Linked DNA regions of Astyanax mexicanus. The protein of the gene in region 1 purifies or fractionates together with the protein of each later gene. This does not show direct contact. Links are inferred from orthologs where the notes say so. Each region holds a gene or a part of one and is shown in the gene's direction. Other genes may lie near its edges.

The links.
Region 2: the proteins of map3k7 (region 1) and ripk1l purify together in Homo sapiens (affinity purification with western blotting; 5 studies listed by BioGRID, with this or other methods). This does not show direct contact. The link is inferred for Astyanax mexicanus from reciprocal best matches to the Homo sapiens genes MAP3K7 and RIPK1.
Region 3: the proteins of map3k7 (region 1) and tgfbr1b purify together in Homo sapiens (affinity purification with western blotting; 3 studies listed by BioGRID). This does not show direct contact. The link is inferred for Astyanax mexicanus from reciprocal best matches to the Homo sapiens genes MAP3K7 and TGFBR1.
Region 4: the proteins of map3k7 (region 1) and peli3 purify together in Homo sapiens (affinity purification with western blotting; 3 studies listed by BioGRID and IntAct, with this or other methods). This does not show direct contact. The link is inferred for Astyanax mexicanus from reciprocal best matches to the Homo sapiens genes MAP3K7 and PELI3.

Annotation. Positions count from the first base shown.
Region 1 is NC_064408.1:47,758,286-47,766,063, reverse strand, and holds the start of map3k7 (mitogen-activated protein kinase kinase kinase 7), read left to right. Parts: upstream 1-4,471; 5' UTR 4,472-5,304; coding exon 5,305-5,391; intron 5,392-6,707; coding exon 6,708-6,818; intron 6,819-7,486; coding exon 7,487-7,552; intron 7,553-7,778. UniProt on the Homo sapiens protein: Serine/threonine kinase which acts as an essential component of the MAP kinase signal transduction pathway. Plays an important role in the cascades of cellular responses evoked by changes in the environment.
Region 2 is NC_064415.1:8,725,895-8,733,643, reverse strand, and holds the start of ripk1l (receptor-interacting serine/threonine-protein kinase 1), read left to right. Parts: upstream 1-4,694; 5' UTR 4,695-4,933; intron 4,934-5,453; exon of another isoform or gene 5,454-6,423; intron 6,424-6,711; exon of another isoform or gene 6,712-7,621; intron 7,622-7,748; 5' UTR 7,749-7,749. Other genes in the region: dusp22b (dual specificity protein phosphatase 22-B), read right to left, coding at 1,929-1,949. UniProt on the Homo sapiens protein: Serine-threonine kinase which is a key regulator of TNF-mediated apoptosis, necroptosis and inflammatory pathways.
Region 3 is NC_064413.1:43,271,587-43,279,268, forward strand, and holds the start of tgfbr1b (TGF-beta receptor type-1b), read left to right. Parts: upstream 1-4,359; 5' UTR 4,360-4,488; coding exon 4,489-4,558; intron 4,559-7,682. UniProt on the Homo sapiens protein: Transmembrane serine/threonine kinase forming with the TGF-beta type II serine/threonine kinase receptor, TGFBR2, the non-promiscuous receptor for the TGF-beta cytokines TGFB1, TGFB2 and TGFB3.
Region 4 is NC_064415.1:31,438,277-31,446,459, reverse strand, and holds the start of peli3 (E3 ubiquitin-protein ligase pellino homolog 1), read left to right. Parts: upstream 1-4,935; 5' UTR 4,936-5,351; intron 5,352-8,183. UniProt on the Homo sapiens protein: E3 ubiquitin ligase catalyzing the covalent attachment of ubiquitin moieties onto substrate proteins. Involved in the TLR and IL-1 signaling pathways via interaction with the complex containing IRAK kinases and TRAF6.

The DNA of each region.
Region 1 (7,778 bases):
TTAAAATGTAAATTCCATTTTAACAGTGCAGTGATTGTATTTGTATTTACAGTAGTTGTGAGTTTTTCTTTTTATTTATTGTTATTATTATTATTATTAGGTTGTTTTTTTTTTGCTGTATTCTTTATGCAGTTTTGGCAGGGAAGTATTAGCAGGATGTTATAAGGTGATGAGTCTGCATTATATTATCTTTATAAATTATATCTAAACTGGTCATTTTGAATAGTGCATGAGGTGCTTATGTTTATATTATACTTATTGTAAATTCTAGTTCCTTTTACCACCACTATTAATAAACAAATTAAATAATGTGCGTCTCTCCTCAATTAATCAATTCACACCAAACTCACTTCAAATAACACTGTTGAATTATGGAGAAACTTGTTGAATTCCACAGTCAGGGCCTGCACAATGCACGGGGAGGACAGACACCCTTGTCTGAATATGAACAACTGCTGTTTGAGTTTTTTCCAGCAGTGGTGATTAATAGGGATCATATTCAGCTGTCACCAAATGATGGTTGAAATCCTGAGTTTATTTTTAGAACGCTGAAGTCATGTGTTCAGGTTACTCAGCAAATGCAATTTTGTTGATCATTTTCCCATCACCTCTGGTCACAGTGCACAAGGTCACACTGCTTCAAACCAAACACAGTACATAAACAAACACAGCAAACAGACCAAAGGGTAAACGGGTAGTCCAGTGTAGTCCAGTGTGTGAGGTTGGACACTAAGCTCTAATATTATACAGAGCTGTCAAATTTATTAACACACAAAAACTTCAAAAAGGCTGCATGCAGTCAACCAAAGCCTAGTTAGCTCTGCACACAAAATAAGCTGTAAAAGTATTCTGAAAGTTTACTGCAACATGGAATTAATTTTTTTGTTTTATTTTGTTTTTTTCTACCTTTGAGATGAGTTGCCGCACCAGAACTAATCATCCAGTGAGTGTCTGATTTCACTAATGCTCTCGCTTTCAGGATGAATGCAATCAAAATCTTGCAGCAATGTTCCAACATCTAGTACAAAACCTTCCCGAAAGAGCAGACACAAGTCCTGCAACAAAGAGGGGACAGACTCATTTTTAATACTAAGGCAGTGTATTGGCATAAACTTATTGATACAGGGGTTACAATCCATTATATTAAAATATATGACAATACTGTAAGTAATGTAATATATTGTGAATGCTAAAATCAATACTTATCACTTTACTGTATTTGGATGAGTCATTACAGATGCCTCATAGATGCTCAAATAATATTTAACGCAATGGGCCCTATTTTAGCGATCTATAGTGCAACGGTCAATTGTGGATCTGCACAACTGGATTTAGGGCGTGTTGGCAGTTCTTTGGTATCGTGTGGGCGAAAACAGCACCCCTTTGCTCAGCTCAAAACGCGCAGGTATTAATTTTCTTAATTAATCATGAGTGTGTTTTGGGCTTAACGTGAAATAAATCAATCAGTGTGTTAGTTGCCATTCATTCCCTTTAAGAGGCAGGTGTGCTTTGACTTTGGCACATTCGTATCTTAACAGGGCAGCACTTTGTGATTCTCAGCAGATGAGATTGACCTGCGCATTCACACTATGAAGGAACGGCAGCAGCTTATTTAAGAAAACAGAAATGTTTTTTTCATTCTTTATTTTGTTTATTATTAAAAAATGGATTTGCGCTCTGTGTGTGTGTGTGTGTGTGTGTATGTGTGTGTGCTGAATTAGCTGGGGTGTACGGCTGCTGGGCACATGCAGCATCATTTCAGTCAGTGGAGATCCTGTGTTTTCCACCGCCAAAATAGCAACACACCTCACTTCCAGACCACCACACCCATCAGTGTAGATTTATTCCTAAACTCCCACACTATTAACGGTGCGGGTGCAAGGCGTGAAAATAGACTGTTGATAGGGTGTAAAATAGCAATGAGCATCGAGACGCACTTTGCACAGGGTGTCCGACCCTACGTCTATTAAATGCAACTGAATGCTCTTTACTCTTTAACCTGAACTGTACTCTTAACATTTTATAGTTAGCTTTAGAGTAGATTTAATGTTTAGGTTAAGGTTTGAGTACAACACTCCTCTCTAGTGGGTGGGGTTTAAACACAACACTAAATGAACCATTGTCTGCCACCAATCTTTACATATAAACCAATAATTAAAAATGAATACTGTGTTTTTGATTTTTGATTTTGCAAAACAAAATATTGAAATACTTAATTATATTAATATTTCCTTTCATTCCTATTTAATTAACTTTTTTGGAAGAATCTGTCTATCTAGGGCATATTATGTCTGTCCAAAATTACTAATTGTATTACAATCTTGGATACACAGAGAACAATATTAATATCATATTGGATCACTCATTCGTGGGACATGAGCTTGTGAAAAGGCCTGTTTTTTATGTTGCGGACAAATCTTTGGACACAACGTTTCTTGTTAAATGTAACATTAAACAGACATTAAAGCTCTACAGGAACACATGCAGAGTCCCTGGAGGTGATAAAGAACAGTTGCTGAATAGTTGCTGCTTTTCCTTTATGCTGTAAAGCGCCAGCTCATCCCAAATCACCTCAAATCACCATCTCAGTTGGGTTTAGGTCAGGGGATTGTGAAGGCCAAACACTTTCTGTTTACTACATAATTTCATATATGCTACTTAACTGTTTTTGTGTGTTTAATATTAATCTACAGTGTAGAAAATAAATTTAACAAAAAAAGAAATGAGAAAAACATTGAATGAGAAGTTTTTATTTGAATATCATGCAGCCCTGATATACAAACATAATGGAGCTAGTTTGCCATCCTATCCTGTTTTAGAACCTACAGCTGCATTCAGGATAGCTCTCTATTACAGAAATAGTGCACTATATAGTGTCTGCCATTTTCTAAAGCTGTTCATAAATCTCAACAGTCTCATTTTATTCCCTAGATAGTTTACTATCAAACACTCATAATGTATCACAAACTGTAGTGTACAGATCATGCAAGCTAGAATTTCCAGCGTATACCTTAATGCCTTGGTGGTAATGTGTTGGTGTTGTGTCAGACGTCCTTAGAGCGGCAAGAATTAAGGGTGTTTTCACACCTGCCTTGTTCGTTCTGAACTTTCAGATTTTTGCTATGGTCTGAACCAAAGTAGCAGGTGTGAAAGTGGCCATGAATCATGGTGCATGAAACGAAGAACCAGAGGTAGGTCCAACCAAAAGTGCTCTCTGTCCGGATCTACTGAACCATGGTCTGGGTCTTCCATGGTCTGCAGTGAGAAAACACTTTTGTAAATGGTTCCAACTTTCAGACTAATTTGACTGTTTGTCATAAAACAGAAATAAAGGAATTTGAGGATAATCTTTTACACTCATTTTTCTGTGGGGTGCAACTGTACAAGGAGCAAACCAGACCAAATATATTCAATTTTAAAAAGATATGAAACTTGGTCAAGACTTTTAGGTGTGAAAACAAAAAAAAGAAATTTGTTGTTTGGTCGTTCCCTCGTCAGTTGGGTCATGATAAAATTAGCTGTTAGGTGTCAGATCATCGTGTTTGGGTAATATTTTGCTGATTGGATAATAAACTTAGCTGTTAGGTGTCAGATCTTTATGTTTGGATTAAACGTTGCTGATGATATCATAAACTTTGTTGTTAGTTGTTGGATCTTTATGTTTGGGTTAAATGTTGCTGATCAGATCATAAATATCCACAACCTCCTAGCTGTAAATTGGAGGAAGTTACCAGTCTGGTGTAGGTGTGTGAGCAGGACAGCAGAGTATAGGAAATGGGAATAGGCTCTATGTGTGACTCAAGATGTTAGGTGTAGCATTTATGTATTATGTTACCTAGATCAACATCACTTCATATCATTATTCACATCAACACTAGATGCTTTTATGTCAGTTCATATGGTTGTATATGTAGAGATCAGCTCCAGACCTAAAGAATTACAGCTCTGGAAAAAATTAAGAGACCAGTTTCTCTGATTTTGCTATTTATAGGTATATGTTTGAGTAAAATTAACATTGTTGTTTTATTCTATAAACTACAGACAACATTTCTCCCAAATTTATAATACAAATATTGTCATTTAAAGCATTCATTTGCAGAAAATGAGAAATGTCTTAATAACATAAAGATGCAGAGCTTAGACCTTATATAAAGTTCAGAAATCAATATTTGGTGGAATAACCCTGGTTTTTAATCACAGTTTTCATGCATCTTGGCATGTTCTCCTCCACCAGTCTTACACACTGCTTTTGGATAACTTTATGCCACTCCTGGTGCAACAATTCAAGCAATTCAAAACAAAATTCTTCCTCTTGATTATATTCCAGAGGTTTTCCATTTGGTGAATTAAAGGAACTCTTCACATTTAAGTGGTCTCTTATTTTTTTCCAGAGCTGTAGTTCTGAGAGCTGGGTGTTGGAGCAGGTTGAGGCTCCATACCGCGGGCTGACTGGAGAGGGCAGGATTCAGAGGAGCTCAACTTCCTGGAAGTACAGCAGTCAGTCAGTCTGTACTGCGCCGGAGGAAAAGAAAAATACACATAAAATAATAATAACAACACACGCGCTCCATGGAGGAGACACGCTAAAAGTTCTCCACCGCTTCTGTAATGGGCCGAAGGCCTTGGTCGCGTGAAACGGACACTTAAGGTGGTCTAAATCGCCCTGAAATGTTAAGAGGTTTGGAGGCGGTGGTGAGGAGCCTGGGCGCCGGTGTGGAGTGAGCGCTGCGCGGCCGAGAGCTGCTCCTCCCTCCCCTGTGCGGCCCGGCGGAGCGCGGCTTAGCTTAGCTTAGCTTAGCCTAGCCTAGCTGAACTAGCTTAGCAAGCGCTAGTTCAGCTGCGGATCGCAGTCTTGAGTTTTGTTGTTGCCAGTTTGAGCTCGTTTTTTGTGTTGTGTTGTTTTCTGAGCTAACCTTCAGACTCCGCTGAATTTAGGAGGAGAAGTTTAGCTAGATAACGCTATGTACTGCCGACCCTGTCCTTCAGACTCGGGTTTGTTTAAAAGCCGCCTGTCCCGCTTCTCTCGGGCCAGTGTTGCATTCAGATAGACGGGTTAGCGCTAGCTTAGCTTAGCTATCGTTTTGGGGCTGCTGGTCTGGGAGCTAGAAGTTTTTAAAGTGGTGAAATTCCTGTGAAGCTCGCGGTGTAATGCGGGGCTCGTTAGGAGAACCAGTCCCTCTGCTTGTGGTTGAATAGCAGAGGTCCTTCACTGTAACCGCTGAATGTGTTTAGGCTCCAGAATCGCCATTCTTTGTTCGGTTTTGTGTTTTTAATGGTCGCTGTTAGCCGGTTAGCTGGCTAGCAATGTCTGTCCCCTCCGCCGAGATGCTTGAGACACCACCTGGATATCCGTTTGAGGAGATAGATTATGCTGATATCGAAGTGGAAGAGGTAACTAAACCTGTCCCTGTATCTCTCTTTAGCTTTATTAAAGATAATTAGTGAGTGGGGTTTCATATTCATGTGCAGAATTCAGTAAAACACGCCGGTTTGTCACAGTTGTTCAGCTGTTTCTAGCACACACCTCAGCAGTACACCTGGCTAAGGTTAGGCTAGGTTAGCTTACGTTATCTAGCTACTCTACCTAAAAACCGGTTTTATTTTAATTAGATATTTTTCACAGAAAAATCTTAAGCAAGACTTTTCACTAGATAAACTTTCAGTGCAGTTTTTACTTTAACGTTACAGTACACATGCTGATTTATACCTTATTTAAACATAGCACGCAAATTTGCTAAGGGCATTTGTGTTTGGTAGATTATTTCTTTAACAGTGATTCTTGTCAATTAATTTCCCTTTTAAATGATTTCACATGTGTACCTAATGAACATGCTTTTAATGGATGAGCAGATTAAACCTGAGTTTTTGGTTTGTGCCCATGAAAACTTTGCCAAATCTTCTTAGCTTATGCTGTTGCTATGGAAATTTGTTTTGAGCTTCTAGTACCCCCACATGATTGGCACCTGATTGGCAGCACCTGTGAGTAGGCATGCAATGATTAGTCAATATAATCGAGAAGTTGAATCAGAATAGTCGTTGTCGACTAATCATCAATTTGTCCACTACACAAAGTACTGGGGACAGAAGCACAACGGGAGAGGGGTCAAAATCAACTCAACCTGCATCTCCAAAAGTGCACAAACACAACAGTTAACCTATTTCCACATGTAAAGGACAATGTTCTGGACATTTGAAGGGCATTAAAATGCCACATCCAGTTGTTTACCCACAGCAAAGAATTGGCATGCCATGTTTGAATGAGCTGGATAGTCTACATAGGGCAGCTTCAAGCTGTTGTTCCTAGTTGTTCCAAAACCTAGTTGTGGAACCCTTGTAAAAGTATCTTCAAATTGAAGGCCAGGTTACATATAACGGTGAATGTTAGAGGCTGTGAAGGGGGCATCACATGAAGGTAAATTTGCTCTTAAGCAGAGAGCATTTCAAGAAAACATTATGGGCACAAGCCACATACTAAGCTCTGCTGCGCATCTCACAATTACAAATGTTGCTTTATTTACAGTAAGAATTAACTGGGTTTTCTTTGTATAAGATCTATTGCCAATAAACATTGTTACAACAAAGAAATAATATACCAAACACACAGGTTTTCAGCGTCTATGTACAGATGTTAAACCTCACATTGCTAGCTAAGATTGCCCAGTAAACCTACATGGATCCTTCATACGAAGCAAATGTCTCATTTTCAGGTGGTGGGCAGAGGAGCGTTTGGTGTCGTCTGCAAGGCCAAATGGAAGGGCAAAGATGTGGCTATCAAGACCATAGAGAGTGAATCTGAAAGAACTGCCTTTATAGTGGAGGTACAGTGAAATCAAGTTTTACTTAATTCATCACACAAACAGTCCTACACCCAGGGGCGATTCCAGGATCAAATCAACCCAGTCCTTTCATTTTTACTTTCTCTTTAAACAGTTTTTTAGAAGATAAGAAGATAAAATTGTGTTCATTCTCTCACTCGAATTTAAACAATGGCTGATTGGTAGGCTGCAGCTTAACCTAATAAATTAAAAGTGCCAGACAGTGACAGCATAAAGAGTGATGCTTGATGGTGAGTGTGAGCAGGCTTAGCACACAGGAGGACAGAGAAAAAGTGAACTATACTTTTTGTGTAGTGAGTAGAGACTGCTGCATTTTTATTCTTAAAATACAGTTTTAACAATTTTGAACCTTTTACTTTCATTTTAGAACTAGTTTGAACTAGTTACACCCATGCTCTTTGTAGGTTAGGCTTAATCATTAGAGATTGATGATCAGTTAGTCCAACTTGTGTAGAAGGCTAGACATCTGCCAAGCACTGTGCCCAGTTGTCCACCTACACAGCAGGTTGATGGTTTTCTCAATTTGACTTAAGAAGGGCTTGATTCTTAGCCAATAGTGTGACTCAGCTGCAGCACAACTCTACTCTGTGCAGGTAGACAACAGGAACTGACTCTGATTCACAGTGTAACTCTTTCTTTTTCATCTCCAGCTTCGTCAGTTGTCTCGAGTAAATCATCCCAACATTGTGAAGCTGTATGGCTCCTGTGACAATCCTGTAAGTGCCTCAGTTTAAGCAATTCTGCATCACTTTGTTTGCACCCATCAATTTGTATAACTGTATAATCTGATTTGAACATTGCAGTGTTACACTATGTTTTACTAAGCAAATTTCATACATAAAGCCTATATCATTAGCTTATCTAAACATATGTCATATGTAATGACTGCTCTGATCAGACAAAAATGGAAAGCAAATGAGATGTAGCTGTTAAAACCAAAAC
Region 2 (7,749 bases), on another chromosome or scaffold:
AAAAAACTAAATGAAGGTTTTGGATTGGCAAAGTTTTTTAAACATAATCTGTGTTCATGCTCAAAAAACATAAATAGATGCACTGTTACAGCTCAGCAGACCAGGCTGCCTCATCTTCTTCAATACAGGCTTTTTGGAAAGGCAGACCAGCTCTGCTGTGTGGGAAAGAGAAGGAGGCCAGGCCTGGAATGTATGTGTGTGTGTGTGTGTGTTAAAGTGTGTGTGCACGTGTGTGTACATATGTATGTGTCAGGTGAGTATTTTTAGATTTGTGAACTACAGTGGTACTCTCTGTATCTCGCTCTCTATTTGTCCAAATGTTTGTGGACACCCCTTCCAACGCATGCAATCTGCTGCTTTAATTTGCTTTAATTTGCTTTAATTAAGCTTCCATGTCCAATGGAAGTTAATGAACACTATGGATATCTGTGATTTGTGTGTGGAGCCTCCTATATTAAATATGGACGTGATTTGAGTCCGTATACACTGTTCAAGCCAAATGCCAATGGTGACGATCATTACATAAAATAAAATCCACCCCTCGAGAAAATGAGCCAATCAGCTTGCTCGTTATGCCAAGAGTGAATGAGAGTCTGCATGCAAGTGGGGAAGCCCTGTCTGAAAAGCTGAAAAGTCTAATTCCTTTGGCAGTATTAAGGTAAATGCTACAAACTGTTCATAAGATTTTTTACAATCATGTAAAATATAAAATACAGTTTTCAGTATTTTGGTTACATTAACGACTTGCCATACATTTTCTTTTTTTATGACATCTATGTTGTCCATTATGCTTTTCTCAGCAGAGGGAGCCCATTAAAATGAACAGACCTTTTCACTGGATTTATATCTAATTTATTTAGGATTTATATATATATATATATATATATATATATATATATATATATATATATATATATATATATATATATATTTTAATAGTTGCTATTTTAACGAATTGCTATTTGAAATGATACATTGTATTTTGAATGCTACTTAGCAATTAATTCTGGAGTAATATTGTATATTGTTAGACAAAAGTAGCTACGTATGTTCACAAAACTTTGGCAATGGAACGTCCCGTCCATCTGACACCCACTATTGGACCTTTTCCACCAATGTGGATCAGGCTCTGTTCTGGAACCAAAGAATAGCAGGATCTTCAGTGCAAACCGAGAGCCACTGTGTGCAACTCCCTCTGCTGATTACGTATTCTCTGACGTATCCATTAAAACAGTTTTACTAAAACTGGTGCAAACGTGGGCTGGGTTACTGACAAGTTTCTTATAATCTTGAACAGAACCAGTTCCAGAACACAGAAATGAGATATTCTGAATATATATATCAGACCTCACTAGAACTTTGATAATGCATGTCGCCTTGCCATGAGCACATTGGCCAGTGTTTGTCTCAGCGGGCAACACCATGCCAAGGTCCATTGAGACCAATACAATGCCACAGAGGGTTAAATGCTGTCCCATGACTTTTGGCATGCTAGCATAACTGGTGTGTGAGCACACTGAAACTCATCCTGATGACATTAATATGAGTAGTGAGTACATCATGCTCCCTCTCTCTCTTTTCTCTCTCTCTCTCTCTCTCAGTGTACTGGTGGGTGAAGGCAGGGAGTGAGTGAGACCCCTCTGCCCACTCAGGACCACCAGTGTGGGTGTTTTATCAGAAAAAAACACAGAATAAATAAATAAATAATAAATATTCACATTAATACAGAGAAAAACACTGAAATAAAGCAGTAAACCTGCCTACATTCACTCTGATCCACTAACACACTTCACACACTGATAACTTTCCTCTGATTCACCCCCTATACACACACACACACACACACACACACACACACACACACACACACACACACACACACACACGCGCGCGCGCGCGCGCTGACCGCTGTCAGAGCGCTGTTTTACCTTATTAATCCCGTTCCCCATGTCCGCTCCGCTCCTCTGCGCTGCTCACACTGGGGCAGTTTGATTACTCCGCGTCTGATTACACTAGAGTTGCCCTTGCGCTGTCACCAAAACGCAACTGCGCATGCGTACAGCTCAGGCATTGTGGGATATGTAGTTTTGTTACCTTGTTAGGCTAAACGCATTTTTAAAGAGACGCACAAACTATATGACAGTTGTTATAAAACAAAATGGCTATTTATAAAAAAAATAATAAATGGTTTAAGATTATAGATTATCACACAGTCGAGCATAACCAGCCAGAAACAATCCTAATTCAAAATGCAGAGGTTTTAAGTAATAAAGTACAAATGCTTAAATACGGCTCTGGAAAAAATAAGAGACCACTTCAGTGTCTACAGACAACAATTCTCCCAAATTCCAAATAAAAATATTGTAATTTAGACCATTTATTTGCAGAAAATGAGAAATGTCTGAAAAAACAAAAAAAAAAAGATGCACAGTTTTTAGACCTCAAATATAATAATGCAAAAAAAACAAAAACAAGTTCATATCCATAAAGTTTTTTTGTTGAATAACCCTGGTTTTTAATCACAGTTGTTGTTATTTTTTTCATGCATTTGGCATGTTCTCTTCCACCAGTCTTACACACTGCTTTTGGATAACTTTATGCTACTCCTGATGCAAAAATTCAATCAGTTCAGTTTGGTTTGATGGCTTGTCATCATCCATCTTCCTCTTGATTATATTCCAGAGGTTTTTCGATTTGGTAAAGTGCTCTTTTAGCCATAGTTTAGCACATAGCCAAACGTTTTTGGACACTGCTATATATTCTATATTCTGTATGAGACATAAGTATTAACACCCCACCATTTCAGCCAAAGGTTTTGGACTTTAGCATTTAACCAAACATTGTTGGACTAACAGCTAACCAAAAGTATTGCCTGTCCAACATTTAGCCAAAGGATTTTGGACTTTAGCATTTAGCCAAAGGATTTTGGACTTTAGCATTTAGCCAAAGGTTTTTGGACTTTAGCATTTAGCCAAAGGTTTTTGGACTTTAGCATTTAGCCAAAGGTTTTTTGGACTTTAGCATTTAGCCAAAGGTTTTTGGACTTTAGCATTTAGCCAAATGTTTTTGGACTTTAGCATTTAGCCAAAGGTTTTTGGACTTTAGCATTTAGCCAAATGTTTTTGGACTTTAGCATTTAGCCAAAGGTTTTTGGACTTTAGCATTTAGCCAAAGGTTTTTGGACTTTAGCATTTAGCCAAAGGTTTTTGGACTTTAGCATTTAGCCAAATGTTTTTGGACTTTAGCATTTAGCCAAAGGTTTTTGGACTTTAGCATTTAGCCAAAGGTTTTTGGACTTTAGCATTTAGCCAAAGGTTTTTTGGACTTTAGCATTTAGCCAAAGGTTTTTGGACTTTAGCATTTAGCCAAAGGTTTTTGGACTTTAGCATTTAGCCAAAGGTTTTTGGACTTTAGCATTTAGCCAAAGGTTTTTTGACTTTAGCATTTAGCCAAAGGTTTTTGGACTTTAGCATTTAGCCAAAGGTTTTTGGACTTTAGCATTTAGCCAAATGTTTTTGGACTTTAGCATTTAGCCAAAGGTTTTTGGACTTTAGCATTTAGCCAAAGGTTTTTGGACTTTAGCATTTAGCCAAAGGTTTTTTGGACTTTAGCATTTAGCCAAAGGTTTTTGGACTTTAGCATTTAGCCAAAGGTTTTTGGACTTTAGCATTTAGCCAAAGGTTTTTTGGACTTTAGCATTTAGCCAAAGGTTTTTTGGACTTTAGCATTTAGCCAAAGGTTTTTGGACTTTAGCATTTAGCCAAATGTTTTTGGACTTTAGCATTTAGCCAAAGGTTTTTGGACTTTAGCATTTAGCCAAAGGTTTTTGGACTTTAGCATTTAGCCAAAGGTTTTTAGACTTTAGCATTTAGCCAAAGGTTTTTAGACTTTAGCATTTAGCCAAAGGTTTTTAGACTTTAGCATTTAGCCAAAGATTTTTGGACTTTAGCATTTAGCCAAAGGATTTTGGACTTTAGAATTCAGCCAAATGTTTTTGGACTTTAGCATTTAGCCAAAGGTTTTTGGACTTTAGCATTTAGCCAAAGGTTTTTGGACTTTAGCATTTAGCCAAAGGATTTTAGACTTTAGCATTTAGCCAAAGATTTTTGGACTTTAGCATTTAGCCAAAGGATTTTGGACTTTAGAATTCAGCCAGAGGTTTTTGGACTTTAGCATTTAGCCAAAGGTTTTTGGACTTTAGCATTTAGCCGAAGGATTTTGGACTTTAGAATTCAGCCAAAGGTTTTTGGACTTTAGCATTTAGTCAAAGGTTTTTTGGACTTTAGCATTTAGCCAAATGTTTTTGACACTGCTCTATTAGCCAAAGTTTAGCTTACTGTTTTTGGACACTGCTTAATTAGCCAAAGTTTAGTCAAACGTTTTTGGACTTTAGCTTTTAACTAATGTTTTTGGAAACTAATATATCCGACAAAATTATTAGAATTCCACAATTTCAGCAAAATAATTTTTGGACTTTTTGGCATTTTTCCAAGCCAACTCAAAGTTTCCCTTTCTAGTTATTATTATTATTATTATTATTATTATTATTATTATTATTATTATTATTATTATTATTATTATTATTATTATTATTGTACTGTAGGTGTGTGAGTGTGTGAAGCACTAGTCTGGTCTCTGGTGGTGATTAGTTTGGTCTGAAGGGGGTTTTTCTTACTTTCAGTTCTGCAGTGTGTGTGTGTGTGAACCCGGAACACACACACACACACAGCTTCCTCAGGAACTCAGAGGAATGTAGATCAGGGTGAGTGAAACACACAGTCTGATTATTATTATTATTATTATTTTACACTTTATGCTGATTATATACCGAGATTTTACTACTGAACACCCGGCCGGAGGAGCAGCAGCAGGAGAACATGAGCTTCAGCTGGAGTTACTGAAGATCCACAGCTACATTCAGATCTTCAGCCCGGTAACTTACTGCTCTCTGTACACAGTAACACTGATTCATCTGTAGATTGTAGATACTGGGTGTGTTAGGAGATGTGTGGTGGAGGTTTGGCAGTGTCAGACGTGTTAGGACATTACTGGAAGTGTTTTAGAGTGGTACTGGGGCTGGTGCTGGTTGTGGTTGTGCTGTGTTAGTAAAACGTGTTTCTTAAGTTGTTTTGGTGTTGATTTTAGGTGTTTTGTGGAGGTTTGGTTGTGTCAAAAGTGTTAGGATATTACTATTAAGTTGGTTCAGAAGGTTGTGATGCTGGTTTTAGGTGTTGGGATGTGTGCTAGTTGGTGTTTTGGGAAGGTTTGGTTGTGTCAGAAGTGTTAGGATGTTACTAAAGTTGGTTTAGAAGGCATTTGGTTTGTGTTGGTTGGTGTTTTGTGAAGGTTTGGTTGTGTCAGAAGTGTTAGGATGTTACTAAAGTTGGTTTAGAAGGCATTTGGTTTGTGTTGGTTGGTGTTTTGTGAAGGTTTGGTTGTGTCAGAAGTGTTAGGATGTTACTAAAGTTGGTTTAGAAGGCATTTGGTTTGTGTTGGTTGGTGTTTTGTGAAGGGTTGGTTGTGTCAGAAGTGTTAGGATGTTAGTAAACGTAATTTAGAGGGTCTTAGTACTGTGGCTGGTTGTTAAGTGTGTGATGGTGAGGTTTGGTTGTGTCAAAAGTTTTAGGATATTACTAATTTTGGTTTAGCTGGTGTTGGTTCTAGGAGCAAGGTGTTAGCAAGTGTTTGATAGAGGTTTGGTGGAGGTTTTTTGTGTCAGTAGTAAAAGTTGCTTTGCTACATTGCAAGTTGGTTTAGAAGGTGTATGGTTTGTGTTGCTGGTGTTTGGTGGAGGTTTGGATGTGTCAAAAGTGTTAGTATATTACTATTAGGTTGGTTCAGAAGGTTGCGATGCTTGTTTTAGGTGTTGGGATGTGTGCTAGTTGGTGTTTTGGGAAGGTTTGGGTGTGTCAGAAGTGTTAGAATGTTAGTAAAGGTGATTTAGAGGGTCTTAGTATTAGTGCTGGTTGTTGGATGTGTTAGTTGGTGTTTTGTGGAGGTTTGTTCATGTCAGAAGTGTTAGGATATTCCTAAAGTAGGTTCAGAGGCTGTTGAGGTTGGTTTTAGGTGTCAGGATGTGTGTTAGTTGGTGTTTTGTGAAGGTTTGGTTGTGTTAGAATATTACTAAAGTTGCTTCAGAAGACGTTTGGTTAGTAGGTGTTTGGTGGAGGTTGGTTTCTGTCAGAAGTGTTAGGATATTACTAAATGTGGTGTAGCTGGTGTTGGTTCCAGGGGCAAGGTGTTAGCTGGTGTTTGATAGAGGTTTGGTGGAGTTTTTTGTCAGAAATAGTAAAAGTTGCTTTGCTACATTGCTAAAGTTGGTTTAGAAGGCGTTTGGTTTATACTGTTGGTATTTTGTGGAGGTTTGGCTGTGTCAGAAGTGTTAGGATATTAATAACGGTAATTTAGATGGTTTTGGTACTGGTGCTGGTTGATGGGTGTGTGTATGTTGGTGTTTTGTGAAGGTTTGGATGTGTCAAAAGTGTTAGGATATTACAATTAAGTTGGTTAAAGCGTTTGGTTTGTGTTAGTAGGTGTTTTGTGGAGGTTGGTTGTGTCAGAAGTGTTAGGATATTACTATTAAGTTGGTTCAGAAGGTTGTGATGCTGGTTTTAGGTGTTGGGATGTGTGCTAGTTGGTGTTTTGTGAAGGTTTGGTTGTGTCAGAAGTGTTAAGATGTTAATAAACGTAATTTAGAGGGTCTTAGTACAGGTGCTGGTTGTTGAGTGTGTGTTAGTAAGTGTTTTGTGGAGGTTTGGTTGTGTCAAAGGTGTTAGGATATTAATATTAAGTTGATTACGAAGGTGTTTGGTTTGTGTTAGTAGGTGTTTGGTGGAGGTTTGATTGTGTCAAGAAGTGTTCAGATATTGTTCATGTTTGTGTTTTGTGTTTTGAAGGTTTGTTCAGTGTCAGAAGTGTAAGGACATTCCTAAAGTTGGTTCAGATGGTTTTGGTGTTGAATTTAGGTGTTTGATAGAGGTTTTGGCAGTGTCAAAAGTTTTAGGACATTTCTAAAGTCGATTCAGTTCAAGTTTTGCTGTTGTGTTTAGGTGTTGGAGGATGTGTTAGTTGGTGTTAGGTGGAGTTGTTTGCAGTGTCAGAAGTCTTAGGACATAGCTAAAATTGGTTCAGTAGGTGTTACGTGTTGGTTTTAGGCATTAGGCTGTGGTAATAAGTGTTTGGTGGAAGTAAGGTCTTGTCAGAAATGTTAGGACATGTCTGAAGTTGGTTCCGAAGGTGTTTGTGTTGGTTAAAGAGTCCTTAGTTGTTGTGGCTTGTGTTAGTAGGTGTTTTGTGGAGGCTTGGTCGTGTGATACTGGTCCTGGTTGTTGGATATGTGTTAGTCGGTGTTTGGTGGAGTATTGATTGTGTCAGAAGTGTTAGTATATTACTAAAGTTGGTTTAGAAGGCGTTTGGTTTATACTGTTGGTGTTTTGTGGAGGTTTGTCTGTGTCAGAAGTGTTAGTATATTACTAAAGTTGGTTTAGAAGGCTTTTGGTGGAGATTTGTTTGTGTCGGAAGTGTTAGGACACTCCTAAAGTTGGTTTAGAGGGTCTTTGTGCTGTGTGTGTTAGCAGTGTAAATCACTTCCTCAGTGGTGTCAGGTTACACAACTCCTCAGGTGGGCTAGTGTTATAGATAGATACAGAATATGAACACTATAAAAAAAGAATATGTGCATTAGTTTAATATTTTGAACAGTTTCAGGACGATAATACATTTTTATCTTGTAATCTTATCTTAAACAGC
Region 3 (7,682 bases), on another chromosome or scaffold:
TCAATTATTTTTTGCTCATCCATTCCACCACCTGGGGACAAAACTCCATATTGTCTTCCATATATATATGGAATAAAAAAGGATGTGTGATACTTGAGTCTCAATTGACCGTACAACCGGTGTTTTGTCTATCTTTTACCTATATTGCCTGTTGAAAAAATACTCATCTGTCCTGAGGCCTCACTTGCTTAAATTTTTTTTCTTCCTCACAGTAATAAATCTAAGATAAACTGTGTTGTTGATATTTTTTTGATAATCTCTAATGTCACATCTTATCATTGCATACCATCTCAACAATGTGCCATAATCAGGGCCTGCAGGATCCCAGAGCTCACAACACCTTTTAAAGAGTACTAATTCCTCTCAGCTCTGCACTGTTATTCATGATGTAACACGGCGTATTTGTTTAATTAGCAAGCGAATGCTGTTATCTTTTTGGCCCATGTACTTTGTTGAAGAATGGCACTCCAGGGCAAAATATTCCCTTAAGCTTACACATTTGTGTTTGCCCTACTTATCGCTAACTCCCATTAATGCTTAATAGCCAGGGATTCTTTTTTTAGAATATCACACTCCAAATCTCACAGTATAAATTAATTGCTTGTTTCGGACTTTCGGCGCAAATTTAGGCAAGACGCGGCACAGGCCTTTGCCAGTATGGCTCAAAGTTATGCCTAGGCCCTTTTTTCCAAGATAAGAATTTATACAAAGCAGATTTGTTGTGAATATGGCAGTAAATAATTGGGAATATTTTATCTTGGTGTTGTTTATTGAAGATTTTTACATTTTGGCTCTTCTTGTTATCCTTCTGCTGCCAGTCATTTTTTCAATGCCAGTATTCATTTCCATACAACTGAAACATGATAATGAATATATGATAACTTGATAACTGATGGTTAATATATTTAGCCTCTATTTTCTGCACTGTGCATCTATTTAAGCTGATTTGTGGAGGAAGTGTAAATGAATGCCACACAAGTACTTAGCTCATGTAAACAGTTTGTGCATGCTTGAATGAGGGTTTCATTTAGGTTCATTACTGACTGATAAGTCCAACGTTTGTCTAGACATGCAGCCAGCTGATATGACACTGCAGGGTCTGCACTCAGAGCCCCTCCCCGCCTGCAGTCAGATCCAACTGGGGAAGGCACACCGCAATGGCCGACGTCCAGATGGCAGCCAAGTGATTGGCGATGGGGGTTGTTTTGAACCCAGTTACGATCACCAAAAATAGGGACGGCAGATAAAAGTGCCGACAGTCCACGGCCTGCACCGGCTGATTACAACCAACCAGGCAATGCCGCTCGTGTTTGTGTTGCTTTGCTAAGGGTGCACAGTCCATGGACAGGCAAATATAGGCTTTAGCAATATGTAAAGGACTCTGCTTCCTGCTGATGACCCCAGTGCTCCCCCGGACCCCTGCAGCCCGAGTCGATAGCCTATGTTTTTTAAGCACAAGGGTTTTTAGGTAGCTAGAAGAAGTGGATGGGGCCACTGCTCAGTATCCAAAGCCTGTATCCAAGGCCTAGGAGGCCCAGGCGGACATCAAACAATAGGCAGTCGTCAATCTCTGTCACCGTAGATGGGTGAACGGGAGTTAGAGGTTGCAGGAGGTCAGGCTCTTTGTCCTGTCCTGATGAATATATGCATAAGGCACTGCAGCCATGACTTTAGGAGATGTGCTGGTCGATATATTGTCGAGCAGTATATTCTGTGATACTAATTCCGTTTTAAAAACATTTTTAGCTAAATATATTATTGATAGATAATGAGAATCTATATTTATATAATGTAATGGCTGTAAAATAGCAACATCTATCTGGTTGTCTTTCAATGTGTGTAATTTACGTTAAGTATAATATATTATACTACATTTTTACATGACCATTATGCAACATTATTTTAGCTCTTACTTAAATTTAAACAGTCTGCTTTTGTAACTGTGCCTCTAAAACTGAGAGTTTTGAGTTCTGAGTGTCTGCCCTGTATTGCATCTCATTCAGAAAGCAATGTGGGCTGAACTACCCCCTATAACTTGAGTCTGAATAGGCGGGGCTAAGCTGCCATATGTGAATTAATTAAAGGGAAGACTATACTGTGCAAATGTATTGTTTTTGTGACATCACAAAACAATCAATTCAAAGTTACTTTTACAGCTTAGTTTTTATATATAGACAGCACTGGAACTACATAAAATTACTAAGCAGTAATAAGCCTAAGCAATTATTTTTCTCTGTCATTAAAGTACTGTTTTTATATAGGTCATATTAAACCAAATGTGCTTAATCAATCACATTGTTTTTTCTTTGTAGGTCTATCTTTAAGTCTACCGATAGATATGAATATTTTCAGACATTCTAGGTCACTGAAATGCCTGGCAGTATTGAATAAAGGCTACTAGACTCTATTTTTTTCCTGATTACAGGGAAGAAATATCCAGGTCTCATGATTTACTATTATTGCCCATCTACCATCAGACATAATGTTTCATATTTTCATCTAAAAAGCAGCTGAGCCATCCTCTTCCTTGTCTTGCAGTTTTTACAATCCTCAGTCTGATTTTAACCCTGTCTGTGGCTTCACTGGTTGTATCAAACCCTATTTACTTCAGATCAATGACTGTAAAAAGATATAAGCTATATACAGTCTATGCTTCATATGATCACATTCAATTCTATTTAATTAATCATTTAACTTTTACTCACTGTCAAACATAACTTTAAAAAGTATAAAAGCCTTCGATGCACACTGTGATGACGGTCGATGAGACTTTTTTGAAATGTCTTGACATATATAGTCACTATTTCTGTTTCACTGAGTCTAATAAGACTCTCCTCTCTCCTCACTCTTATGCAACTTATGCAAGAGGTTACCCCTGAGTAAATGATGTGTTGTTGATTTTCTAAGTGAAAATAAGTTATACTATTATTTCACAAAATATACACTATACCTACACTGACATGCCAAAAGTCATGGGATATCAGTATGCAAACTGAGCATGTTACCTTGGGGGCTTGGGAACACTCACACCTGTATAAGTTGTGAGGTGTTATCTTGTAAGTGTATTTGAACACTTGTCACTACTCTTCTGGGACAGTGATGTGACTTATCGAAGTTTGAGTTTCCAGCAGAAGATTTGTTTAATTATTTACACTAAATAAGCAAAGGTGCCATTTTTTTCAGGAGTACCTTAAACCTTTGTTTTAGACTGTAAAGACAGTCGGAGAGTATACAAAATATGTACCTATTTCTTGCAAGTAAATACCTTAATATTTTGAGAGTGTATTAAAATTACATTTTTACTTATCTATTAGCAAATCCTGAAATCAGATTTTTTTTTTTAATTCCAGAATTTGCAAAAAGTGTACTAAAATATTGACCTGTTTCTAATAGGAAAAAATTGTTATTTCAATCATTAAAGTATAGGGTTAATGATGACAGGATTGTGGGTTTGATACCCTGGTTTGACACACTGCCATTGTTGGATGTCTGAGTAAGGCCAATGGCTGCCCACTGCTCCGGGCATGTGTGTGTGTGTGTGTGTTCACTATATGGGTGGGTTAGAGGCAGAGGCCAAATTCCATCTGTGTCCAACACAAATGTGAATATGGTGCTTCTTAAATAAATAAAAAAATAAAATAATTGTTAAAAAAATCTGAATTAGTTTAATAATTTAGATTCTTCTAAGTACCACATTTATCTTTGAGGACAGCTCTGCACACTCTTGGTATTTTAATCTCAGTGTCTTCATGAGGTAGAGGCACCTGGAATAGTTTTCTCAGCGTCTTGAAGGAAGGAGTTCCTGGAGGTGCTGAACAAAAGCTGCTGCTTTTCCTTCAAGCTGTGAAGCTCCAGCTCATCCCAAACCACCTCAAATCACCATCTCAGTTGATCAGGTTTAGATCAGAGGATTGTGGAGGACAAACGCTTTTTATTTACTGTTTACTACATAATTCCATATGTGTCCCTTTTAATAGTTATTTATGTCTTTAATATTAATGAAATATGTAGAAAATAAATGAAATAAAGAAATAGAGAAAAACACTGAATGAGAAGGTGTGTCCAGGCTTTTGATTGGTGCTGAATATCACCAGAGTATTGTGTATACATGACTTCAACACTCCTCCATACCTGTGTGTATCACCTGTTAAAGTGTTAAAGCAGTTGTAGCGGGTGTATAGAGAGTGTAGATCAGGGGGAGTAGGAGGAGAAATGCTGTGAATCTGTCTGTCTTTCTGTCTGTCTGTCGGTCTACTGTGAGTTTTTTTTTTTCCTGGGTCTGGGCGGGGAGTGGCGGCTCCAGCCTATCACAGGCTTCTCTCTCTCTCTCCCCCCTTGCTCTCTCTCTCTACATACACACCGTACACACACACACACACACACGCCTAGCTAGCTAGCTGGAGAGAAGTTGTATGTGTATGTGTGTGTGTGTGTGAGTGTGCGCGTGTGTGTGACAAGCAGGCAGTGTAGAATAAGTCTGATCCGAGGATGGATGCAATACCGCGCTGTCTGCTGTTTCTGGTCCTGCTGTTCGGGACGCGGATCGGCGGGTCTGAAGGTAAGGCGCCGCCGGGCTGTGGTTCGCCCCAACTCCGTTATTTCAGCCTCTGCTCCGTGAAGTTTTGCTGTCTGAGAGTCCGCTGTTTTTCCTCTTTGTTTCAAGGAGCTACGGCCCCAAAGACTCTTTTCAAAGATGGCGCAGGTCAGAGAGAGAGCTGAGCTTTCGGAGGAATGTTTTCTTTCTTTCTTTGTGTTTTCTTTTTGAGAAGAGAGAGAAAAAACCGAGGGGAAGAGATAACTAAACACAGGACAGATAACCTAACGTAGCTCGTTAGCTAAATAAAAAGAGCGAAGGCGACCTGGCTTGTGTTGTTGTGAAGAATCAACAGCGCTTCGCTAACTACAACAATAACAAACACAGTCCTCTAGCAGTCTAGCTTAGTTAACTAACAGCTTACTAGCGTATGTTAGTTAACTATTTAGGTTACGTAGTTCGTTAAGGAGTTTGGTCTGAATTTAATGCTCCCCACGATACTAGCTAACTACAAAAGTTGGCAACTCTTCATAGTAGAGGTTTATAAGTTAACGTTAAATGGATTGATGAACTGGCTCTGAACACAGCAATTACATGCTTTAAGAATAGAATACAAACAAGATAACCTAGCTGTACATATTGGCAACACTTTACAATAAGTGTAGTTAATTAACCTAATTAACTAACTAGCTAACCTTGCTAGTTAACTAGTAAAGTAACCTAATGTGACCTATTGTTGATTACTAAATTGTAATGTTTGACAATGTTGTAGATAGTAGCTAACAATGAATCGAGGCGTTATTTAAACATTCTGTCATGATAAATAATGTCTTTACTAGTGGCAGTTAATTAATAATCTAGTTAACGTTAGCTAAGTACTGTAAATTAATGTGTTAATAAGCTAATTAACGCTAGCTAGCTACAGTTATAACAATGTAGGTTAGTTAGCTAACCTACATCAATTAACAGTACTAACTAGTTAAGTAACCTAATGACTCAAAGTCTCAGTGTCTAATTTATTGTTGTTGGTACTAAATTTTAATGGTTGAGAACGTTGTAGTTAAACATTCTGCCATGACAAATAATGTCTTAATGTCCTAGTTTCAGTTAATAATTATCTAACTAGTTAGCTAACGTTAATAAACGTTAATAATCTAACGTTAATAAGCTACTCAATGGTAGCTAGCTAACGCTAATTAACCTAGTTACATTTATGACAATGTAGTTAGCTAGTAAGATTTCTAAAACAAACATTAGCTAACGTTACATGTGAAAACAAAACGTTGATTAAACCTATAATCTATGTACACTAAATAAACTAGCTAAATAAATCATATCTGACATTGATATAGTCTGATATATCAACGTTGTTTGAACGCTTTGAAAACGTTGATTCAACATAAGCCAGCTTGGTTAACTAAGTTAAATAGGGTTAAGTTTTTGTAAGTTAAGTAACCTAAAGTCTCAATGTCTAATTATTGTTGATTTATTAAATTGTAATGCCTGAGAATGGTGTATATAGCCTACAATGCATTAAGACATTAGTTAAACATTCTATCATGATACATAATGTCTTAACTAGTGTCAATTAAGAATTATCTAGTTAAGCTAGCTAAGTACTGCAAATTAATGTGCACACTTATTGTAGTTAAATTGTTAATGAGTTACCTAGGTTACACCTAGCTACATTTATAACAGGTTAATGTAGTTAGCTAAATAAAACAAGTTAAGCTTTCTAAAACAAACAATAACTAAGCTACATATGAAACCATAACGTTGAATCAATGTTGAACCAACCTAAAATCTATGTACACTCAATAAAATGGACAAATAGTATCTAAATCAACCCTGGCATTTACATCAACATTGTTTCAACGCATTAGAGATTGAAATATGTTGAAAACGTTGATTCAACATAAGCCAGCTAAATAACTAACCTACTTTTGCTCTGCTGGAAGAAATGTTGTGATTCCCAAGCCCCAGTGGTAACGTTAGGTTAGCTAGGTTTAGAGAGAGAGAGAGAAATACACCATTAAACGTGATTAAATGTGCTGACACATTATTACACAGCTGTAAACCTGTGCTGAAATGTTCTTGTATCCATCTAAACGCTTAAACTGAACTTTATTTAACGGTAAATGTGTTTAGATTGTGTTTTGACCACTATCACACATACACACACACACACACACACACTCGGCACAGAGAGCAGCAGCAGCCCGTCTCTCAGTAACAACTAGCTACACAGCCTCACTACTACAGCAGCTAACCTGGGTTGGCTAGCTCGCTGGCTAACGTTAACGTTAAACACACAGATAAACCGATACTGATGGTGTTCAGCCTGAACCGTGAGCTTTTCCAGCCAGCTAGAATAGAGACTGTCGTTGGCTAGACGTCTTGAGTGAGATGTAACATTAGCGTAACGTTTTTTTAGATGATAGCAAATTGATTAAGCCGTCTACTAGCTACGCTAGCTAACTAGCTAGCCAACCTACCGGGCTAGCCACAGTTCTTCTGTTCAGTCAGCCTAACTGCCTCTGTTAATGTTGTGTTTATGTCAAAAATAAGTTTATTTCAGCTACCTGTTATTTGTTTAGCCTTCATTTAGGAGCTTAAGAGTAACTTAAGAGTGCAGAACTGTTTAAGGACTGAAACTGCCCAAATAACGTTACATCCGCTCCCCCCCGTCCGTTTACCTGGATAAGCTGGATAAATAAATAACTTTATTAACTAATCACTTCATCAAACACGAACTGTAGTAAACGAATGTACAGAAATGACAAGTAAATGATAAGTTTCTTTGATTTTACCAAATTGAAAAACTCTGAACTATAATCAAGATGATGATGAATAATCACAAGCAATCAAACAAAGCTGAACTGTTAATTTTTTTTTGCACCGGAGTGGCATAAAGTTATACAAAAGCAGTGTGTACGACTGGTGGAGGAGAACATGCCAGGAATCATAAAAACTGTGATTAAAAACCAGGGTTATTTCACCAAAGCATATTGCTTAAAATACATTTAATGTAAATACAGTAAAAAAGTATATTTGATGTGTATTTTAATTTAGTATATTAAACAGAAAATGCACTTTTAGTATTCTTTACCTAATTTAACATGCTTTTAATGCTCTCATGTTTACCTTT
Region 4 (8,183 bases), on another chromosome or scaffold:
CATCTGATGCCAGTTGTACTGCAGACAACTCTGTTCAAATGTCCATCTGTGTTTTTTACCTGTGTGAGTCAGGTTTTTACTCATGTGTATAAGGGAGATGGTGCAGAAATGAATTATTATTGTCCATTACTTAATTCCTCTGTGATGGGGAGCTGAAATTAGCATTGATTAGCTTTTATTTTATTTTATTTTTATGTTACTCATTCTGCCGTCTTACCAGTTATTCTCATAACCCTCAGTTTAAAGTGTGCCTCTGAAAAATCTCTGTTTAAGGGGCTAACAAGCCTAACCTGGACTCCATTTTCAAAAAAACACGCTGAACATGTTAAGATGCTCTTAATGCTAAGAGTTTTTTTTTTTTTTTATTGCGCCCTGGATAACAAGAGGTGTTGAAGTTCAGCACCATGGATAGTTCCAGGAAAGTGACCTGATTGTAGTCTGGGATAATGAACACAGTCTGGGTACATGAAGACCCATAATTGTGAAAATATAAGTTTAAATGTTGTTTTTAAGATCCAGTAGCTTCAATATACAATCAAACAAAAGGAAATTATCCTCATGAATATTAAAGTTCCAGGTTGAGTCGATGCTTTGAAGCTCTGTAATGATTAGACCTTTAGACATAAAGAAATAAACATAATCAGTTTGTACTACCTTAATATGTGTAATCCATTATATTTGGATAAATATTGTCATTGGTTGATATCCTATTTCAAGATGCTGATTGATGCCCTCTTGTAGAACATTTTGATGTGATCTAAGTTAATCAATTACTGATCATACTCATAAATGGTGTAATGTTGTAGCATATGAACCCTGATATATAAACTCAGTTAAACATATTCAAAAACATATGAAATTATTTAGTAAACAAAAATGCGTTAAACAAACCATATAAACCATGAACCATAACTTTAGATTTTAGATTATTCAAAGTGCTTGCTTGCTTAAATGACAGTATTGCACACCTGGAATGTTCAGCTTTCAGTTAACCCTTGTGTGATGTTCGGGTCTGTGGGACGTTTCCATTTTTCACCAAATGATACAAAAAAAATATTTTTTCTAACTCAAACTCATTGGCATTGGCTCATTTTTTGTGAAAAACATATATCAAAACACATTTTCGATAAGCACATACTGTACACCCCCCCAACCATTTATATTACATACAGTATGTTTGGACAAGGGCTAATAAACATTGCTTCATTTGTAAATTTGAAACTAAACAAATTTTCTACTCATATCTTGAGTTTAATTCATTTTCTTTTACATTTTATTAAAAAAATAATAAAAAAAGAGTAGCACTTTTTAAAAGAAATGTAACATAAGAAAGGTAAAGGGCAAATATTAACCATGTAAGCTGTTTATTTTGCTTGCAATTTAGGTGAAGCAAGCATGTGTAAAGCATTTTAATGTAAAATTGCTTAATTTTGCTGAATTAAATACAAGTAACAAAGTAAACGAGTAACAAAAATATGAACACCACACAAGGGTTAACAGCTCTGCTGAACTTAGGAGTTAACTACTTGAATTTCTTGTCCTCTTAATGAGCTTGAGAGCATTAGTTGTAAAGTTGTGAAGAGGTAGAGTGGGTATACAGTGAATAGCTCTATTTGAGTAATATTCTAATCCATATTATGGCAAAAACAACTCAATTAATTAAAGAAAATACTTTAAGAGGTCAGTCACTTTGAAAATATCATCAAGTGCAGTTGCAAAGACCATCAAAAATGTTATGATGAAACTGGCTCTCATCAGGACTGCCCTAGGAAATGAAAACCAAGACTTACCTCTGTTGAAAAGAATTACCAGCCTCAGAAACCACACTTTAACATCACCCCAGATAAGATTCACCTAAATGGTGGTTTGTTTATAAGTTACTACATTTTTCTTTATGTGTTCCTTCATTTTCTTCATATGCCTTCAGTATTAATGTACAATGTAGGAAAAAAAATAAAAGCATTGCATGAGAATATATGCCCAGACTTTTCAGTGGTACTGTAGGTCAAGTAAATCTTAATCTTATTTAAATCCTAAATAGGTGTCTCATGGTCATGGTTATTCATCAAGACTGGGAGTTTTTAAATGACTTCGTGTTTTATCTTAGTCATGCTGTGGTAAATTACCCAACACTTGCAGTCACACTTAACCCCTTCCTGTTTCAGTTACCAGCAAATATCAGTTTAACGTGAATGTGTGAAATGAGCTTGAGTCTTGTGGCTTGTGAGTTTTGGAATCAAGAAAACTGACTGCAGTTGAATCTGCAAATGTCACTTTCGGATTTTTTTTTCTTTCAAATGAAGAACCTTGAATAGAATTTTTGATTGACTATGAAACTCAAGGAAAACTCTTTTTTTCTCATAGAGCAAACTTGCTTACATCCACTCATGTGGTTTGCTTACAATACACATGTTGGCACACATGTAGAGCAAGGCATTCTTGCCTAACGTCATCTTTTGCTGTCTGAGGTTTAAATTTCAAAACACAAATACTGGACGCATTTACCAAGAATATTTAAGGTCAGTTTCTTAGACAGTGATTAAGCCTAGTCTTAGAATTTCCATTGAAATGAAAATATAGGCTACAGCTATAGACTGAATTCCTGTCCAGGAAATGGAGCACTAAAGTTCCCAGATATTTTTTTGTTCCTCCCCAAAAACTGTAGATCCATTAGTGGTGAACTTTTAACATTCATTGTAAATTCAGCACTGAAGCAATGGCAGAATACACTGATCAGACCCTGGTCAAACAATTGTAGTTAAGGGTGTTTTCAGCCCTGCATGTAGTTGTTTTTTATGGTCTGAATCAGTTGATGAGTTTGTTTACTTGGAGAGGTTTCTCCCTCTGTTTGGTTTGATTTCACACAGGCTGAAACGCTGCCCTTTCAAACAGTGTTTTTAATAGGACGCGCAGCACAATTGTACACATAATAAACTTGCTAGTTGCTAGTCTGACAGAAGTGGCCACAGCACAGAACGTGCATGTACACGGCACGGAGCAGAGACAGTGCTTGTTCATAGCTGTAGTAAGCCTTATCAGCAGTTTAGCTCAAATGAAAGGAGTCTTGATTTGATAGTTGGGTCGGATCGAGACGGGATCAAGTTCTCACCATAAGTGAACCGCTTCAGAGTTAATTTGGGAATGAACTGAGACAATTTCCTCTAGCAGGTCTCGGAGTGTGATTACTTTTTTCACACCTGCACAATCGAACCGCACTAAAGTTAAAAAACGGACCAGAGTTGGTTTTAACTGGACCAAAGTCTAGTGCTGGTGTGAAAACGCCCTAAGTTATCATATTTACATTTGTTTAAAAATCTTAGTTTATTTGATACAAACAGTGATTGTTCATTATGTTGTTTCTCAAGACTCAAATACGCTCCTATGGCAGCCATAGCTTAACTAGGTAGCAGTGACTAACCTGAAAAGCGGATCATTTGTATGGCCAGTGGTGGCCTCAGGCTGCATGGTTGTCCCTCAAACATCCTAAGGACACCACTAGGGCTCTTGGATATGTTTTCTTGCCTGTAGCAGAACCCAGCACTACGTTCCATTGTATCTACTTCATCTAAGGGCACCCTTCGGGACATTCTCTAGTAGAGGTGGCACTTCTATAGCAGCACACTTTTATTTTGGGAAGGCAGAAGTCCAACAATAGATACATTCTCAGAATGCCTTGATCTATAGGACACAAGATCTGAATTCATCACAAGAATGTGCAGCCTAAAAGGTACTTAATACTTTTTTCCCGTGAGAAGAGAAGCCAACATGGCTCTTTGTCTTTTTTACACTCTAGAGGGAAATTTAGCAACACTTTTCTGCTGGTGTGTATTGCGCACACTGTTTTTAGTTTCCATTTGTATCATTTCTGTTGCTCATCTCTGATGCTATGTGTGATGTAGTCAGCTGGGCTCATTGTATTGCACAATAGTAAGTACACAGCACAGTCCTCAGTCATTGTGTTCTTGTGAGTTTGTTCTTGCAAAGTAACTTGGTATTACGAACCACATTATTGTCTTTAAAAGCCCCCAACTCTGGAATAACCTACCTGAAGATATTTGAGAATAAGGAAAATTCTTAATGTTGGGGACTAGGCTAAAAATCTAATAGTTAAGTTTAGCTTTTGGTAATTAGCTAATTATTTTTCTTAGATAAAGGCTAAGGCTGCAGATACAGGGGTTCATGGACATAAGGAATTGTGGTGAACTAAAATGCTGGTGCTGTCTTGCCTCTTGCTGCACATGATCATTCAGGTTAGTTGACAGTGGAGTGAGTGGATGCTTATGTTTTTGGGTACCATCATGTCAATGTGCTGAGGATTATGGTGGGGGAGAAGATGTAAATTCTCACAGACTGTAAATTCTCACAAAACAATAGCTCTGTTTGCTCCAATTTTTCCTTTTTTTTCATATCGAGGTATAGTGTGTTATTTTATTTTTTAGATCTTTTAGCTGCTTCGTGTTGTCAGAGAGGTTCTTTTTAGGAGGTTTCTTGATTTTACAGGTCTGGCAGTAATCAGACCTGGTTGTGGCTAGTGAAATTAATCTCAGTTTAACAAAAATGCAGTTAATCACAGTTTTTACATAAATTAAATCATCATTTTAAAAGCTGCTTTTTTATTTACTATTGTTGTCTTGTTATAGTTTGTTTGATAATCTGAATTCTGAAAATGCAAAAAGAAATCTGCAAGGAGGCAAATACACCACTGTATATTTATTTGATTTAATTTGATATGAATTGATATTAAGGAACACCCTTGATTTAGAATTAAACTCGCACTGACTGCTGGCCAATCCTGTGGGAGGGGGGCGTGGCTCTCCCGAGCACGGGTGGGGATAGTGTATAATCAGTGTATCTCCAGCAGCATCAGCAGGCGTGGGCAGCAGCAGGTAGGCGTTGCCGTCCTCGCGCTCTCCCTTTCTCTGAAGGCGGGAGGGGGGGAGGGGGGGAGGCTTTACGCAAGAGTCGTGGTCTCTCCTCCGCGAGCGAAAAGAGAACGACGTGGGCGAGGGCGAAAACCTTCCCTGGACTGTTTTTTTTTTCTTCTTCTTCTTTCGTCTTCTTCCTCTCTTTTCTTTTTTTTTAACGAGGGGAAACGCGAGGTAGCGATGGGCGTGACGACTCTCCGGAGCGAGGTGATGCTCCGTACTGCCGGACTAACGTCCGTTCACGCCGCAGCTCCGTGAGCGATGCCTCTGCCGTGGCGATGCGAAGCACACGACGACGCGCTGTCCAGATCTCCGTAGCGGGCGATGATTCAGCAGCACGACTCCAGATTTTAACAGCACACGGGGACTGACGAGGCAAAACGCGGGCTCGACGCGAGGCGGAGAACAACACAACATCAGCAGCGGGTGAGTAAATAGATAGATAAATAGATAACTAACGGACGGTTAACGGTGTTGGGTTTGGTGCTGGGTTTGGATTTGGTTGGTTGCTGGTCTGTGTGTCCGAGGGCTTTCACGGTTAGTCGGCGTTTTCTGGCGATTTGTAGCGAAATAAATCGTATTTACTGGGCAGAGAATGGACGGAATCCCCTGCGCACGTCCCATAATTTCATCAGGCTTTTAGCTACTCGATTTGATCTTTTCCGTTCCACCTTAAATGGCGCAGCAGTAACAGTAGCTAGTAGTAACAGGGGTGTGACAAAATATCGATATGGCGATATATCATATTATATTATTTGGCGATAGGGATATTTGATACTTTTTTGCATTAGTGTATTTTTGTTTTAATTTTTGTTATCTATATTTTTCTGTAAGCTGTACACAGTTTGAAAAGATTTTAGAGTAGAGACATTTTAACAGGCGCAGAACCGTTCTAATTTTATTTTACAACAGAAAGCTGAGCTATTTAGGTTACTGTGTAACCTGACACACACAAAAACACAATTCCTGTTATTTGCTTATTTGAAAGTATTGAATCCTCTTTAATTAGCTAGACAAATGCTATAAAGTATTAAAGAGAGTTGTTTTGTAGAATATCAAGTATTGTTATATCATCATTATCGTGGGCAAAGTATTGTGATATTATCATATCGTGTGAGATGATGAATTAAGCAATAGTACACAAGAGGAAGTGCTATAATGTAATTTTGGCACTGCTGTGCTGCGGCCGTAGATCAGCACAACAGTACCAATATTAACTTACACATTAAGTTACACAGTGCTTATATTACCGGCTGATAACGGCACTCATAGAATGCCTCTCAGCCAATCACATAGCAGAGTTGGAAATGACTGTGGTATAATTCCCTATGATTTCCTCCCTTTTACACAGTAAAGGTAGTTTAAAAGCTGCACAATTTAAGGTGGAACTGAACATTCTATTTCTAAAGAAGCTTAACTTTAATCTAAAACCGCTTGATTTTCACATTTATAGCTAAGCAAACAAGCTTTATCTAGTCTTATAAGCTGCAACATTTAAAAATAGTTCACTGTTTAATTGGTTTGTGCCAAGTTTGCTGTTTTAGTGTAGTTTAGGTTTACAGTTAGCTAATGCAGCATTAGCTAGCTAGGTTAGCTAGCTAAAGAACAGCTGGAATCATCTTTTCAGTAGTTTATCTTTTTACAGGAATTTTTACACGTTCCACCTTAAATGGCACAGCAGTAACTGTAGTAATGGTAACTGGTAAACGGTAACTGCTGCTCTATTTAAGGTGGAAAGGACAATTAGAATAAGAATAAAAGGCTTGACTGTTTATTTTTTAACCAGGCAAATATGATAAATAAGACACACTTTAAGGTAAAATACACTCGTTTTGATAGTGTTTTTTGCTAGCCTTGCTGTTTTAGCTTGCTAATCTAAGTTAGCTATTTAATGTCAATGCTATAACAGCTAGTTAGCTAAGCTAGTTAGATAGATAGATAACTAACAGTCTGGTTGGCAAATCATGATAATTATGGATAGTTAGTTAAATAGGCAGAGTGTCAGCTTAGCCAGCTAACAGATGACTCTAAAAAAGGGCAAAAAGGCAGTTAAGAAATTGTGAAATGTCCTGTGTTGTTTTTTTCCCACGTTCAACAGTGTCCTTCCTCTCTCAGTTTTGCTGTGCTGTGTGTGTGTGAAAATGTCTGTGTTTGTCTGTGTCTGTGTGTGTGTGTGTGTGTGTGTGTGTGTGTAGTCCTGTAGACGCAATGCCGTGCAATCCGTCGTCTCAAAGCACACATGCTTCTGGCGATGCAAGCTGGAGAGCCCAACCGTAATACCATTACATAATGACCATCACAGCCCTCATAGTTCATATTTAGTCCTCTATTTCACTTGTAAATCCACGGATGATGAAATATCCCTGAGGTACAACCCTGTTTGTGAGCACTGTGCTACAAAAAACGTGGCAACAGCTGCAAAATGGCCAGCATGAGAGGTTGCATGTTGCTGGAGGCCTGGAAAGCGCTTCCCTGCACAATCCTGGTATTATGTAATGTTCTTAGATTATCCTATATCTAAACATCATTTGAAGCATATTACAGATGATTAAATGTGATCCTGTCTTGTGTCACAGGGCTCACAGTGATGTTTATGGATGCTGAGCTCTTGTTATATCTGACTTTCAGAGGGACACATCTCAAAGGAGAAATCTGATCCTAACACAAGGGATAGCTCATTACAGTGCTGGACAATAATTCAAACACATGAACAACATCTATTATGTAGTGCTGGGCAGTATGACCAGAAATATATATCAGAGTATATTTAAAAATTCTGAGGGTTTCACAGGATATCACAGTATTTGTATTAATAAATATTATTGTTATTTACTTCTTTTTTTTTGTTTTTGCATGACTCGAATTTTATTGATATTTGTGGCTTATTTTACTGTCAGGAGACTGTATAATATAAAACAATAAAGTTTTAATTTACTATAGAGTAGGAGTGGGCAATATGGCCCTAAAATAATATCACAATTTTTGTGGTATTTTTTCACGATACTCTTGGCAATATAACAAACACTGAATTAAAAAAAAAACCAAGAATACTCTACTGCAACAAAATGAAATTTTAATTTTATTATTGCATACGATATGACATGGTACACCCCTAACTGATTATATTAAAAAAATAAAGAATTTTATCAGATTTGTAACAGAATGTCAATGTCAGTGATCCAAAACGTCATGATACTAATAATACACTCCAAATTTGAATGTACAGTAATGTTATCTTACAGTGTTAAGCTACACAAA